Callithrix jacchus: one gene and its partner. The protein of the gene in region 1 purifies or fractionates together with the protein of each later gene. This does not show direct contact. Links are inferred from orthologs where the notes say so. Each region holds a gene or a part of one and is shown on either strand. Other genes may lie near its edges.

Evidence for each region. The genes of interacting proteins can lie anywhere in the genome.
Region 2: the proteins of HSF1 (region 1) and HNRNPA2B1 purify together in Homo sapiens (affinity purification with mass spectrometry; 3 studies listed by BioGRID, with this or other methods). This does not show direct contact. The link is inferred for Callithrix jacchus from reciprocal best matches to the Homo sapiens genes HSF1 and HNRNPA2B1.

What each region holds. Positions count from the first base shown.
Region 1 is NC_133517.1:53,330,678-53,335,556, reverse strand, and holds the start of HSF1 (heat shock factor protein 1), read left to right. Parts: upstream 1-1,642; 5' UTR 1,643-1,795; coding exon 1,796-1,912; intron 1,913-2,237; exon of another isoform or gene 2,238-2,439; intron 2,440-2,539; exon of another isoform or gene 2,540-2,677; intron 2,678-3,157; exon of another isoform or gene 3,158-3,292; intron 3,293-4,879. Other genes in the region: ribosome biogenesis protein BOP1, read right to left, coding at 1,340-1,414. UniProt on the Homo sapiens protein: Functions as a stress-inducible and DNA-binding transcription factor that plays a central role in the transcriptional activation of the heat shock response (HSR), leading to the expression of a large class of molecular chaperones, heat shock proteins (HSPs), that protect cells from cellular insult damage.
Region 2 is NC_133512.1:31,907,710-31,911,520, reverse strand, and holds the end of HNRNPA2B1 (heterogeneous nuclear ribonucleoproteins A2/B1), read right to left. Parts: intron 2,535-3,811; coding exon 2,415-2,534; intron 2,160-2,414; coding exon 2,037-2,159; intron 1,417-2,036; coding exon 1,355-1,416; 3' UTR 1,334-1,354; intron 1,178-1,333; 3' UTR 679-1,177; downstream 1-678. UniProt on the Homo sapiens protein: Heterogeneous nuclear ribonucleoprotein (hnRNP) that associates with nascent pre-mRNAs, packaging them into hnRNP particles.

The sequences.
Region 1 (4,879 bases):
ACAATACGGAAATTGGCCGGGCGCGGTGGCTCAGGCCTGTAATCCCAGCACTTTGGGAGGCCGAGGCGGGTGGATCACAAGGTTAAGAGATCGAGACCATACTGGTCAACATGGTGAAACCCCGTCTCTACTAAAAATACAAAAAATTAGCTGGGCATGATGGCACGTGCCTGTAATCCCAGCTACTCAGGAGGCTGAGGCAGGAGAATTGCCTGAACCCAGGAGGCGGAGGTTGCAGTGAGCCAAGATCGCGCCATTGCACTCCAGCCTGGGTAACAGGAGCGAAACTCCGCCTAAAAAAAAAAGAAAAAAAAAATACAAAAATTAGCTGGTGGTGGCAGGCGCCTGTATCCCAGCTACACAGGAGGCTGAGGCTGCAGTGAGCCAAGATCAAGCCACTGCACTCCAGCCTGGGCAACAGAGCGAGACTCTGTCTCAAAAAAAAGGAAAGAAAAAGGAAGCAGTTGAATGCAAAATTCTAGATTTTACTGTTTTCCTAATAGCTTACAAGTCTCACTTAAGGAAGGAACCGAATTTATCAGCTATTGTATACTGAGTTTTCACACAATGCCTCTGTCACAGAGTCATGATGCGTCTCCAGTGTTCAGTTAGCTACACAATCAGAGTAACCAGTGAAAATGGCATGCCTGATCTGGGACAAACACAACTGGCTCCTGAGGACCATTTAGCCCAAGGGTGGAAGTAGAACCTGGCTGACGCCTAGAGCTGCCTGCGGGCCTTTCAGTCGGGATGGGGAGCAGGATGAATTCGCTTCACAAAGCAATGGGGCAGTTTCAACAACCCAGTGCGGCCGAGGGGGCTGTGAGGGGCTGGCTGTCCATTTCCTCCAACACCCAATTTTACGACCCCCCCAATCAAGCCGGGGCTGAGCTGGCAGAGAACAACAGTGAATTCTGATACAGCAAATGCAGCAGATATGGGTTCTATTCAGGTTTTCTTATTCTCATGTCTAACTCGTGACCATAAAAACGAAATTAAGTAGCGTACAAATAGGTTAAGCATTTACTGGGGGGCGCAAGCCGAGCCCTTTTATTGGCAGGATGCACAAACGGAACGGCTGGAGAGTCTGCTGCAAGGGCCCGGTCCCCACTTCTCCCCGCTCCCCCGTTTCTTTGCTTACTGGACGCGGTCCTTCACCCCGCAGTCCGCTCTGCCTAGGACGCCCCCCGCAGAGGAGCTGCGGCCACGCGCAAGGCCGAGTTACGGGACACGGGCGCCCAGATGACAGCCGCAGCCGGGCCCGCCGGCCCCCGCGCGGCCACGTGCACGCCGCGTCCCGATAGGGACGCGCCCCTCCGCCCTGCATCCCTGCAGTCACCTTTGGCTCGGGCTCAGGTTCCAACGCGGGCTCCGACCGCCGCTTCCACGGCCGCACGCTGAGCGAATCCGCCATGTCCCGCCGCGCGCCGGCCGCGAGCCCAACTGCCGCTTCCGGCAGCGATAGGGCCGCGTGCGCAGGAGGGTGCGCCCCGCCCAACCTGGTCCCGATTGGCGGGTGACGGAGGCGGGACGAGCACGCGCAGGCTCCCGGAGGGGCCGGGGCGGGGTCGGGGCCTGCGTGCGCGCGCCGGGGGTGACGCCGGAGGGCGGTGGCGGCGGCGGCGGCGGCGGGAGCGCGCCCGTTGCAAGATGGCGACGGCCATGCTGGGCCCCGGGGCTGTGTGTGCGCAGCGGGTGGCACTGCGGCCTGGGCGGCTGGCGCGGCGACGGCGCTAGCCCGGCCCTCGATCCCCCTTCGCGGCCGCTCCCTCCGCCTCTTCCCGCCTTCCCCGACATGGATTTGCCAGTGGGCCCCGGCGCCGCTGGGCCCAGCAACGTCCCGGCCTTCCTGACCAAACTGTGGACCCTCGTGAGCGACCCGGACACTGACGCGCTCATATGCTGGAGCCCGGTAAGGGCAGCGCGCGGGCGTGGGGCCCGTGGGGACCGGGAGGGAGCAGGGCCGCGGCGGACGGCGCGGGAGGGGCTCGGCGAGGGGACTGGAGAGCCGGGCCCAGCCGCACCTTGGCTTCCGCGGAGTGAGCCTGCCATGGCCCCGCCGGAGAAGGGCGACGGGTCCCGAGCTTGCCCAGACCCAGAGCCTTAGGTTGGGAAAGTGGCTGCGAGGCCCATTCCCGGTTTAATTCCTGCCCTAGCGAAGTTTCCTTGGGATGGGGTGAATGGGGCGTCCCCTGCCTTGGGCTTCTGCTAACTGTTGGGCGGTTGCGGAAGTGTCTGCACTTGGGGCAAGCGCCCGGCTTCGACAGCGGACGCTGTGCCCCAGGGGACATCGGCGTCCCCAGGGCATGGCCTACGGGGTGCTGGGTCGGCAGCTATTCCGAGAAAGTCAGGACTTGGCACGTGAAGCGGAGGGCGTTGCTGTAGTGGAACAGGAAAGGCCGTGAAAACAGAAAGTAAGAAGACGTCATGAAGCTTCAGGTTGATCTCAAGCCCGTTTCCAAATCCCAAATCTGGGTTTCCCAAGAGGAGTTTGTTTCCATTCCTTACGGGGCGTCTTTATTCGTGCCTCTGTCTTCAGTTGCCTGGCAGCAGGCTTGTTTACATGATCCGACCCTGCAACACCGGACAGCTCCGGTTTGCAGAAGTAAATCAGCGAATTGTCTGGAGTTGGAGATCAGAATCTGCTGTTCGCATCCCGGTTGTGACGTCGTGTCCGGTGAGGGGCAGAGCCACAGCCCATGGCTGGCAATTGATGGCCTGAAGAAAGGCCACACTGGCCGAGCAGGGTGTCTCCTGCCTGTAATCCCCGCACTTTAGGAGGCAGAGGGGGTGGATCACTTGAGGCCAGGAGTTCGAGACCAGCCCGGACAATTTGGCGAATCCCCCACTCTACTAAAAATGAAAAAATTAGCCGAGCTTGGTGGCACTTGCCTGTGGTCCCAGCTACTTGGGAGGCTAAGGTAGGAGCATCCCTTGAACCTGGGAGGCAGAGGTTGCAGTGAGCTGAGATCCTGCCACTGCACTCCAGCCTGGGCAAGAGTGAGACCCTGTCTCAGACAAAACACAGAAAGCCACTGATAATTGGGAGCTTTTGGAGGGACTGTGACAGGCGGGGTGCCACCAAACATGTGTGGCCTCCCAGGAGCTAAGACTCCAGAGCTCTTCAGGCTCTGCTGAGTGCCTCCTGTTTGCACAGCCTCCTTATGCTGTTAGGAATGAAGAAAAGTGAACTGAAGCTGACCCAGCCAGGAGGCCAGGTTTTCTGCTTCTCAGGTTTACTGAGGCTCTGCTTTACCTACAGAGTGTTTGGGAATAAAGAGAAGACTGGAAATCTTGCTCTTGTTAGAAACTCTTTGTATGTGTCCTGCTGATGCCTCTGCGTTGGCTTCCCATTCCCAAGTCCCCATAAGGTGAGGTGCAGTGCACCTTCCTGCAGCCTGACTTCACTTCACCCTCTTCACTCTAGACCTTGGCATTCTTATGCAAAGGAAATTCTCCCATGTTTCTGTCTTCTTTAATCCTTCTTTTTCTTTTTTCTTTTTTTTTTTTTGAGACAGAGTCTAGCTCTGTCGCCCAGGCTGGAGTGTGCAGTGGCTCAATCTCAGCTCACTGCAACCTCCACCTCCCAGGTTCAAGCAGTTCTCCTACCTCAGCCTCCTAAGTAGCTGGGATTACAGGTGCATGCCACCACTCCTGGCTAACTGTTGTATTTTTAGTAGAGATGGGGTTTCACCACGTTGGCCAGGCTGGTCTGGAACTCCTGACCTCAAGTGATCCACCCACCTTGGCCTCCCAAAGTGCTGGGATTACAGTGAGCCACGGCGCCCAGCCCTTCTTTTTCCTATTCCCCTTAACTCTCAGAAGTACTCTCCTGCCCCTTCGGGGAGGGGCATCCGAGATTCTCTGGGATATTCTAAGCCTAATCCTACTAGCATGACCTATTCTGTCCTGTAGTCTGCTTGCTGTTTCTGCTTAAAGATTATGAGGCGTGTGGGTTAGGTCCCAGCGTACTGTTTTTGGGACCAAGGCATGTCTTGGGCAGGGCTTTTGAGCAAAGGAGGCAGATGTGATCAGGCCTGTGGCTGGCCTCCACTCCACTCACAGGTGTACCACCTGTGGGCCTGTTCTCCCTGGGGAGGGATGGGGAGCTGACTGGAATGTGAGTGTTGGTTCCACCTGGTCAGTATGAAGTGGCCATGGTTGGTGTGGGACATAGCAGTGGGGGCTAGCATGGCAATGAGACAGAAACACTGACTTAGAATGGAAAGAAGCTCTTCTCCAGGTTGGGCAGGGGAATGCAGAGCTTTCTGGCCCTGGCTGCCTATCCTGGAGAAAGGAGGTGATCATCCCATCCTGTGGCTTTGACGGCACTCACACAAGCCCTGAGGACTCCCTGTTGGCAGAGTCCCAAAAGGGGACCCTACCATCAACCTACTGGCCAGGCCCTGCTGGCTGTCGGAGGCCTTAGAAAGCCCTGCTCCTCATGCTGTCTGCTGCCTTCTCTGGGACAGTCCCCTTCTGGCTCAGAGTCTTACCACCATTCTGCCAAGGAAAACCATCCCTGTTTGTCATAAGAAGATAAGGCAGAATTACAGGCATGGTGACTGACTTTCAAGGCTGAATTACTTGGGGGAGACTGAGGCCCAAAAACTGGCCAGTGACTTCACTGCACCTGGCCAGGAATGGGACCAGGTCTGGACAGCCATTGCACTTCCCCTTCCTGGCCTGAGATCTGGACTCCACTGCAGCCAGGAGGCAGAACACTGGCTCGCTGCCCAGGAGAGCTCGTTTCATGGGGACTGTGGTAGTTGCCCCATCCCTGTGGTGTTTGATTTCCCACCCCCTAGACCCTCATTCCCACGTGTGCCCAACCACACAGGCAAGGGCCTAGAGGGGACCCAGCAAGTCATGGAGGACA
Region 2 (3,811 bases), on another chromosome or scaffold:
TGTTAAGCACCTGAATCTTCACATGGAGGGGGAGGGGAGGGAAAGGAGGAAAAAAAGGGAACAACCAAAATAATTTAAGTAAATGACAGATTGGAAAACAGGGTTTATAAAAATTCTCTTGAGTTTATAAATTGTTAAACTCAATTTATAGCTATGTTAAACTACGTAAGAACCACTATACTGAAAGACCATTGAAGAATATTAGTTTATCTTTTAGGGAGGAAAATTAAGAAAGGAAAAGTAAATAAGATCTTACCTAAAGAAGTTTAACTGAAGCTTAGAACTATTTTGCTCTACACCCTCAGCTTTCGTTGGCATCCTTATAAACTACTGTAGTTAAAGTTTTGTAGAAACAGCACAGTTTTTTAAGACTGGCTGAACTTAGTAGCCGTCAAGAGTTCTCTTGTACTAGACCTGTGTCCCTGAAGAGTACCTCGCTGGGGTTATTTCCTTTCCTTGCATTGAAGAAGCAGCATCTAAAAGATCTAAAAAGGTGTTTCTCCTTGCAGAGATATCCCTTAAGTTATCTACATAATTTAATCCTGATGAATTGCAGACAACACACTTACATCTGACCAGCATTTATCTTACACAAATATAACAACAGCTTTGCAACGAACCTTAATTATACTACCCACTCCTTAACTTATTTAAAATAAAAAGTCTATAATTACACAATTTCCTTTAGAATTATTTTATTAAATCATAAATGTACAACAGCTTCTTAACTCTACACACGCACTTAAATTTTTTTAAAGGAAAAACGTTATGTCTTATTACACCATGATCCTGGCTAATAGCTTTTCAAAACTTTGAGAAAAATCTTAAAAAAGGTTTCACATGTCACCTGAAACTTACAAATTTAACATTATCAAAGAAGGAATGCTTCTACACTCTTACAAAGACCACTAGAAAGAAACAACAATTAAAAAGCTAAGAAACTGTCTCAAAGGCATTTTTTTTTTTTTACAATCCTTCCTCCACAGTAAGGTAATGTTATTAAATAATCCAATCCATTCACAAAATGGCTCTCTGCATCTGCTCTGGTGTCTTCTGCCATATCACTGCATATTTATGCATGACTGAGATAAGAGTTTCCTTAACATTGTTATTTCGATAACCTGAAGCTGTTCTGTTACCTCTGGGCTCTCATCCTCTCCTATTTATACAGTGAAGCCTGTTTCAACAGAAGTAAAGAGTAAAAAAAAAATAGGTTATGAAATTATCCATCTAACCAGATTTTAAGGAAAGATAACATGATCCTAAAAAGCTTTTACTCCTGCAGCTAGATCTCCCAAGATAATAATAATTGTAAAACTCAAAAGCTACTTACCCATGGCAAAGAGGAAGAAGCTCAATATCGGCTCCTCCCACCATAACCCCCACTTCCTCCACTGCCTCCTGGACCATAGTTTCCTAGAATTGTTGGAACAGAGAGAGAAAACAAACTTAGATTTCCCATGATCAGCCTACTACAGTTGATTCTATTTTATATCTATCAAATCTTTAAAACAAGCAGATCCTAACTTCTGCAGCCAGTTAGCAGTATTACTTGGGAGATCAATTACTCAGGTTTTAATTTTGTGGCTGACACTATTCTTTTCAATAAAGGGTTGGTCCTCTCACCATCATTTGGACTAAGATTTTTTTAAAGTACATCAAGCACAACACAAAATGTATAGTCCTGCTAAAAACCTCAAGAATAAACTAAGCAATGGTTTGAATCACAGTTGGAAGTATTTAACTTCAAAGACCCTCATACCAAATTTATACCCATTGCAATGCTGGTTGTATTTTTACTTGGCTGTTTATGAGCCCCTACCGGAAATTCTTTCAACTTCTCAACATCCCCACTTCCACCACAATTTGATATTAATTGCTTGCTAAAGTATTTCTGGAGACTTATGCATTAAGACCGCATATAGAGCACTGTCCAAATACGAACTACTTAGTATGGTATCTTCCCTTTAAATCACGAAAGGCTAAACCTTTAATCACAAAAACCTGAACAATCTCAATTTTTAGTTATAAATTACCTCCACCATATGGTCCCCCCATGTTCCTGCTACCACCAAAGTTTCCACTCTTCATTGGACCGTAGTTAGAAGGTTGCTGGTTATAATTTCCAAAATCATTGTAATTTCCACTGCCATAATTTCCTATAAATAAATTGAAATACTGACATAATGGACCTCAGAACAATACAAACATTAAACCAATGATACATACTGACTATTCAGGCCAAAGCTCCCACAAAAACAAATAAAACCAAACACTTATCTTTAACTTTTAAGGGCCTCCAGTGACAAATATTGAAATAAAAGATCAAGTGTTACAAAACCATTGATTCCACCCCCAATTCCCCAAATAAAGGATCTTATAAATTCCCAGATAATTGCCTGTGAATTTATTACCTCCTCCATAGTTGTCATAACCACCTCCGTAGCCCCCACCCTGGTTGCCATATCCAGGTCCTCCACCACCATATCCTCCTCTTCCTCCTCCATAACCAGGGCTACCTCCAAAATTGCCACCTATTATAAAATAAGCCTTTAAGTAATCACTTAATATTTTTAATGACATTCTTAACTGTCTCTCACACCCATTTATAACTTTTCAAAAATACACGTTTGTATGTGAAACATTCAGTGAGATCCCTCTAAAATAAAATAGCCTCAAGGGCTGAATACATACCCTTGGTAAACATTTGATGGCTGAGGTGCCTACCCAGCCAAATGGACAACACCATGTCTATACTCTGACAATACCTGTAATGCCTCAGTTTTCCCTTAAAACTATCTTAAGGTTACCTTTTCAAAGTATCTTGAAATACTGCACGTACATTTTGGCTAACGATTGCAAAACTAGACTAATAGTGGGCTTAAGGGAAGTAAAAGAGCACCTCCTCTTACTAGCCCAAAAGATAAAAGTTTCTATTACGTCTACCTACGAATTACCGTATCTTTCTAAAACCATGTACTTAGCTGGCTTTTCAGACTTCCTCAGACTGGAGTGCAGTGCTGTGATCTTGGCTCACTGCAATCTTGGCCTCAAGCCTGTAATCCCAGCAATTTGAGAAACTGAGGCAGGCAGCTTGCTTGAGCCCACGAGCTCAAGACCAGTCAGGGCAACATAGCAACCCCTCTCCAAACCAAAAAAAAAAAAAAAAAACACAAAATTATCCATAATGGTGCACACCCTTGTAGTTCAGCTACTCAGGAGGCTAAGGTGAGAGGATGGCTGGAGGCCAAGGTTGCAGTGAGCCAAGATCTCACCACTGCACTCCAGTCTGAGGAAGGAGGCCAGACACCATCTCAAAGAAGGGGGGGGGGGGGAGAAGACCCAACACTCCACTAAATATGTTCTTTACCGTATCCTAAATAGAAGTGGGGAAAGAAAAATTTACTTTCACATAAAACAAAACTTACAAAAAAGCCTGGGGGCTGAGTCTCAAATTATAGTTAAGTACAATAACAAAAATTAAAATTTTCATTATAAAAGTCAAGAACAGTGAGATATAGTACTAACTTAGTCATGCCTAATGAATGGCAACACCAGAAATCAAGTTTATTACCAGTTCATAGTTTTAGAAGTTCCTTATTACTAAATCTGTCAGTGTGCATCAGCCTTTTCCATACGCCAGTATAACCGATCAATTTTAACATATTACTTCACTCACGTTTAACCGTAGTTCCCAATCTTATCAGCAGCCAGGAGCACACTAAATATCTTAGAAAACTTCCTCAAGAAAGCTATCCTGGGATGCTTGTCATCTAAGTGTTAAGACATATTTTGTATTTTTCTTCTACAT